Danio rerio: one gene and its partner. The protein of the gene in region 2 purifies or fractionates together with the protein of the main gene of each other region. This does not show direct contact. Links are inferred from orthologs where the notes say so. Each region holds a gene or a part of one and is shown on either strand. Other genes may lie near its edges. The genes, in order: wdr19 and ift140.

Region 1 (3,836 bases), on a different chromosome or scaffold from region 2:
TACAATTGACCTACAGAAGAAAAAGAATTAATAGTTACATAAAAATAGTTAATAAAAAGCCATGAGCCTTTCGATTTCTTTGCGACCCCTGGGGGGATTACGTTAAATTAAAGACACAGCTATAGCATCAGATGCAGCAGATTGATTTTATAGCAACAGGTTAAACTTTCGGACACCTTTACAGCACCCATATATATAAACAAGAAATGCACATATAAAAAATAATAATGATAAATTCAAGCCACAACTAAACATAGATGATGGTCTTCGAGTGGCATTCTCCAAAATTAAACAAAGAGTAGACTTAGGCCTATTGGTAGGTGTGCACTGTTGTGTGCAGGGTTTACATATTTACAGTATAACCACCTCAGAGGATCTTGCGGCTCGCGAGTCACTGGTATTGTTATTTTGGGGGTCACGAATTGAAAGGTTTGGTAACCTCTGGTCTACTTAACATTTCACTCGCCCTTAAAAATTTAGACCCTTTTTAAAACCTTTTAAAGGTCATGTTCAGAGAACTTAAATGAAATTTGTTGAATTTAATAATGGTGATATTCAAATATGGTTTATGAAATATTGATAAAATGTGCTTCATTTGTCAGGATTTTAAAAAAAGTCTAAAAATGTAAGTACTTTTAAATACTTTCAAGAAGCATGAAAACCCTGATTCTTCTTATTCTTATTATTAATTATTATTATTATTATTATTATATTACAGTATAACTTAAATGTATAAAAAGTACATTACTTTTGTAATGTAAAGCAAAATTTTTAGCGGCCAGTAATCTCTAGTGTCACATGATCTGTTCCAATATTCTCAATTCATTCCAATAATCTAATTTGCTGGTCAAGAAACACTTTTTGTTATCAATAGTCATTCATTCATACATTTTCTTTTCGGCTTAGTCCATTTCTTAATCAGGGGTCGCCACAGCGGATCAACTGCCACAGCGGAATCAACCGCCAACTTATCCAGCATACTTTATGTTTTACACAGCGGCTGTCCTTCCAGCCACAACTCAAAACTGGGAAACACCCAGACCTTCTTGCAGTCACACATATATACTACGGTCAATTTAGTGTATTCAATTCACTTATACCGCATGTCTTTGGACTGTGGGGGAAGCTGAAGCACCCGGAGGAAACCCACACCAACACAGGGACAACTTGCACTTTACACAAAAATGCCAACTGACCCAGCTGGGGCTTGAACCAGTGCCTTTTTGCTTTGAGGCGATTGTGCGACCCATTGTTCCACTGTGACGCCAGCAATTTATCATATTTATGAAATACCCAATAAAAATATTTTTCATTTTTTATCTAGCATATGACAATTAATATATAAAGTAATAATTGAAATATTAAATGTAGTGACCTTAACATTTTTTTCAATTGTTTTGCTACTAATAATGATTGATGGTGTTTCTCACCTTCACTAATATGTAGCTGTGCAGGATCATCAGGTTTGTGGCCATCTCTGCGGGGATTTTAATGTGCTGCGTCTGAAGCTCAGCGTACATGCTGAACAAAACATCATGGGCATTCCGGTAGTTTCCTACAATACAGACATAACATGTACGTCACAAAAACCCAGGATGGGAATTCCCTGACAATACACAATTTTTAAAATGGTTACTGCACTGTTTGGTCTTTGCAGTTACTGTATGTAAAGGCACAAAATGCTCTACATTGCAAAATGAAGTGAGTTTTTCCTTAAAACAAGCTAAATAATCTGCCAATGTGGTAAGTAAAATAATCTTATTTTTCATGCTGACATAAGATTGGCAGATTATTTAGCTTGTGTTAAGTAAAAAATCTCTTAAATTTTGACATACATCTTAAAACAAGACAATATGTTTTGCTTGTCTAAAAAATGCTTCTTGATTTAAGAAATTTTAGATATTTTAATTAGAAACAAGACAAAAAAATATTTTCTTGCAGTGTAAAATACCAAACGACAACCTGGTTAGTAAATAGATATCCAAAAAGCACTAAAATCAGACCTGCAGATTGCTCCTCTCTGGCGATTATTATCGCAGTTCTTGCTGCCTCTCTGTATTGTTTGAGAGCCATATACAACCGGAAAAGATATTTTGCATCCTAGAAAAGAACAGAGCCAATAAACATTACACAGTCAATGGTTTTTCTGATAGATTTTCATGCTGCTAATGCTATATACCAGAATCATCAGATAAAATATACCAAAACATCTACAGTATTGACCAGAATCAAACCATTTTCAAGCATATACTGCATATAGTTCAATTAACTACAACAAAAACAACACAAAAACAGTCAAAACATAAAAACAAAGGAACTATACAGAAACAAGCACACTTTCATATATGCACACAGACACACACACACACGCACAAATTTCGTGCTTTCTGCTAGAACACTACAATGTGAAGTTTCAGCAGATGCACTGAACTACTCACGGCGAGAGACTAAATACATGCAAGAGAGAGAGAGAGAGAGAGAGAAGATGAGTAAGAGATGATGAGTGCAATGACAACAGAAACACATCAGACAAAAACAACAAAATTAAATATCAACAGAAGCAGATGTTTTGAATGTGGTTTTTAAAAGAGGACACACATTTGTGATAAACAGACAATAAAATGAATTAAAGATATAATAATAAACGATAAAACAGTGTTTAAAGCTGCCTGAGGCTACACAATAATGCTCTTGTGTGTTGTAATTTAATCAAATATTGTTTCAAGGCATCCTGGAGCAAAGAGAAATCCAGTAGTTTTATGGAGCAGAAAAAATGTTTACGGATAGTTCTTTTAAATTTTGAGTTCAGCAATAAAAACATGAATCAACTGAATATATACGTAAGAACATGGATATACTGAATGATGAAAATACCCTTTTTATTTGTCAGTACAATTACACCACTACTATAATTTTGAGGAAATCATGTTTATTCAGGCATCTTTGATGATTAAAAGTTCAATAGAACTTTACCTGTAACCTGATTTTTTTTAAAACAATGTAAAAGTTTTTTACTGACACTTCCGGCAAATTAATTGTTTACTCAGAAAAAATATTTATAGATAGTTGAAAACAAATTTAACATTTCCTTGGAAATTGTTTTTTGTTTTCAAATTCCAAATAATATATTAAACTACAAAAAAAAATATTATATATATATATATATATATATATATATATATATATATATATATATATATATATATATATATATATATATATATATATATATTACCCGATCGTCACTGTATTTTTTTATATTTGAAGCTCTCTGCTCTAATGATTTATCTATTTCATGTTTTTTTTTTTTAAATACCTTTGGCATTCCATCACTTTCCCCCATCAGATGATCAATAAGCTGGTTGGTTAAAGATTCATCCTTAGCTTCTCCAACCTATTAAAAAGACCACCATAATAGTCAACTTTCTTGCAATACAATCTACAAGATAATGCGCACATAGAAAGTTGTTTTCACAGAACAAAGCCCTTCAGTCTTATACAAAAGCCCTATGCATTGCATTGCATTATACTGCTGATAAGCATGTCAAGACTTTATTCTGCAAAAACAACCACCTAAATGTACATGATCCTGCTTAATACATGGATATTAGTACACAAAATTAAACAATTAGACACAACACATCGTAAAGCTGACAGAAATAAAAATAGCTTATTATTCTGTCATAAGAACTGAATCTTTACCAATCAGAATCAAGTTTTCTAGAAAGTTGTGTGATAAATAGACATAGTTGTCAATTTATTTTCGATTAGGGCATCAATACAGAAATTCTGGCTGATACAGATAAAATTATAATATTTAAAATAAATAATAATAT
Region 2 (3,418 bases):
TCATTTTACCAGAAACACGGAGGCTGACACCGGAGGACAACCGGAGTCTTGCGACGAACAAGCTGTTCCGGATAATTATGAACTGGAACATTTGCACAAATTCCAGCCTTTTCTGGTTAGGGAGAAATGTGAAGAACTGGTCAGAGAAGAATTTAAAGGGATAAAATACGACCACGACCGCTGCCGTTCAGTCTCAGAGAACTTGAGAGCGAAAATACTGGATCTCCTGAAGAAGTTATTCGACCGTTACCGGTTTGTAGTTCAAATCGTAACAGGCGGGAAAGCTGGCCAATCAGTGCTGGCTAATTTCGAGGCTGTGTGGGACACCGACTTTGACGATTACTTCATGATTACCTACAAACAACAAGATCTGTACGCCTTTGTAATGGTTTTCGCGATTTACTGAATTTAAGTTACTAAAAACACATTACATGTCATACATAAAATGAATAAACCATTTGGACATTGTGCTTCAAGAGATGTTGACCTATTGAAATTCACTCAAAACACAATATGATTTAATAAACATAGAAAATATTTATTAAAATAAGTACAATATATATGATACAAAGGTTGTTGAACAAGTCTGGTCATTACATAGTTTGTAAATTGTACAAAACTCGAATATAGTGGTCCCGTGTTATTCTTGATTGAAAGGCCTCGCACGTCAAATATGCATTCTGGGCATTCGCAAACAAGCTACTCTCTACTTAAGGCAACCTGCAAAATGGCTTTTACAAAATCTCACATCATCTCCCAAAAACATCCCATCTGCTAGACTGGCAGTCCAATAGAAACATGGCACATTTTAGAAAAATGGAGGAGTAAACCAAGACTTGATAGTGAGACTTTAGTAGGCTAGTTTTTGTGAAATGTATGTAGTATCTTGAGGGAATTGTTGTCAATGATTGATGTTTTCATCTTCCTCCACCTCTTCATCATCGTCAGCAGCATGAGTGTTGGTATCTTTGTAGACCAGGCGGATCCCAGCAGCATTTTGTAAAGCCTCCAGACTGGTTTGACTCACATACATGCTCAGGTTTATTTTGGGATGTGTTGATCTCAATTCCTCTATTTTACTCCATGCCTGATGAACACACAAATCACAATGTTTAATTATAGTTTTATTTTAAATGGATCTGTGTGAAAAGCACATCTAATCTAGGTTTCAGGGTTTTTCAGACTCTTAGATTAAATAACCCAAAAACATATCAGAAAACAAGTCAGGTACTGAAACAAAAGCTACAAGTGAGACAGATATGAAAGCATCTTCAGATGTTGTCAATGCATTTAAACCCAGCAAGCATTTTTGTGCTTAAAATACATCTAATAGACATTCAAATATGGACATCTTGGCTGAAACAATGCCACATTTGGTCTGCCAGATAAAATGTAATAGACATCTAACAATAGTCTAATAACAGACTAGCCATCAAATACCTAGGGATGAATGACTGCGCGAGCTCTGTCTAATCTGTCTATTTGATGACTAGTCTAGTTTTGGACTATTGTTAGACGTCTACTACATTTTTGCTAACAGACCTAATTCAGCTTTATTTGAGTCAAGACATCGAGCTGCATCCCAAATGGCACACAATGCACTATGTACTTATGCACTTACACACTCAACAGGATAGTATATGTATGTAGTGGCGTCCCAAATGGCACACTAATGTTTTTTTTACTAAGCGGAAGTTCAAATCGTTTCCCTGATGACGTTTGACGGTTGCCAAATCAGTAAAATAAATGAGCAAACTATCAAATAATACCTGCCGTGAGTACAACCGCATTCACCAACGGGAGGCGCTATGATCACTCTCGCAGGAGAAATTAGCTTTCATTCCAAAATAAATAAAGTTATCCAACATGTGCGTCCGATAGCTCCGCCCCTTCCGCTACGTAAGCAAACCTGCGGTCGTTGAGTGTGTGAAGTGTCCATCATTACACACTTGATTTTAGCGGCTGAATGAGTGCATCAACCGGGTAATTCAAGTGCACTCATTATTTTTAGAGTTTTCAGTGTGAACGCACTACTTACACTATTTATACTACAAAATGGCGTAGAATAGTGCATAAGTATGCGATTTGGGACGCAGCTCAAGTTTGTATGTCTATTAGATGTCTTTTAAAAACTAAATTGTTTGGTGGATAGTTGGTTAATGTGACGTACAGGCTTGTCGACCTCCAAACACTTCCAGAAGGGGTCGACTAGATCACTTCTTTAGTGTAAATGTACATGTGGTTTAATAGCCACAATCTGTGCTCAGATTGACTTTATTTTTAAACTTTATGGGATATATTAATAAGCTTTTAAGCACATATTTTCCTATATGTCCTAATTTTAACATAAACCCACAGTGTTGATGTAGTCATCTACATCTTTAATAAGGGTGAGACCACTTGTTATACTTTAAAAAACAAATGCACACAGATTCTGACAACAACAACAACAACAAAAAAAGAACATGCTAGGATTATATAGAGACCTGCGTGAAGTTGCCATGATGGCAGTAGTGTTCCACCAGGAAGCCGTACACATCTCCAACACGCACTGCCAGATCCAGATCCTTCTCTTCCAGCAGAGACTCGCACAAACGCACTGCTTCTACTGGATCCTCCTCATGCATTCTAAAATTACATAAATACACTTAAAGGTACTGTATGCAAGGTTTTGAACCTTCTAAAGCATTAAAATACCATGATATGTTTGCAGATATTTAATAAACATGCTAAGTGAGCATGGTATTTTATCTGAAAAACAATGCTTAAGTCAGTTATTCTGCTTTGAAAATGCGCTCAGTGTCACAATGTCTGTCTTTGTTTTGGTCTGTGTAGTTCCGCCCACAGCCAGTTCACCCAATTATATTTCAGTTATATGACATTTCATTTCAGGCATAAAGGCTGCCTTAATGTATGTGCCGCAGCTGTTCAAGTGACCTCTGAAGAACAGTCGCAGCCTCCGCAGATTCAGAGTTACAACAATCCATGAGGTGGTTTTTAATGAGCAATTAATACAAAGATTTCAAAGTTAAATATTAGCTAAGCAGTGTTTGTCTTGTCAATTTGGCAACCTGCATGTGCATCGAGTCCCCTGGGAAGAGGATGTGTGAAAAAACCCTCCTTAATATTTTCAATTTGGATTGCAATGATTAATCCAACATACTGCAGCTTTAAGGTGATGATACACAGTGCAACTTTTAGAGCAATGTTGCTGGGGCACTTTCTCATTGTCATTCATTCATTTATTTTCTTGTCGTCTTAGTCCCTTTATTAATCCGGGGTCACCACAGCAGAATGAACCGCTAACTTATCCAGCACGTTTTTACGTACACACACACATTCACACACACACTCATACACTGCGGACAATTTAGCCTACCCAATTCACCTGTACCGCATGTCTTTGGACTGTGGGGGA

Evidence for each region.
Region 1: the proteins of ift140 (region 2) and wdr19 purify together in Homo sapiens (co-immunoprecipitation; 3 studies listed by BioGRID and IntAct, with this or other methods). This does not show direct contact. The link is inferred for Danio rerio from reciprocal best matches to the Homo sapiens genes IFT140 and WDR19.

What each region holds. Positions count from the first base shown.
Region 1 is NC_133176.1:23,074,078-23,077,913, forward strand, and holds part of wdr19 (WD repeat-containing protein 19), read right to left. Parts: intron 3,395-3,836; coding exon 3,317-3,394; intron 2,101-3,316; coding exon 2,004-2,100; intron 1,556-2,003; coding exon 1,431-1,555; intron 1-1,430. UniProt on the Homo sapiens protein: As component of the IFT complex A (IFT-A), a complex required for retrograde ciliary transport and entry into cilia of G protein-coupled receptors (GPCRs), it is involved in cilia function and/or assembly.
Region 2 is NC_133199.1:41,562,702-41,566,119, reverse strand, and holds the end of ift140 (intraflagellar transport protein 140 homolog), read right to left. Parts: intron 2,629-3,418; coding exon 2,487-2,628; intron 1,088-2,486; coding exon 902-1,087; 3' UTR 515-901; downstream 1-514. UniProt on the Homo sapiens protein: Component of the IFT complex A (IFT-A), a complex required for retrograde ciliary transport and entry into cilia of G protein-coupled receptors (GPCRs).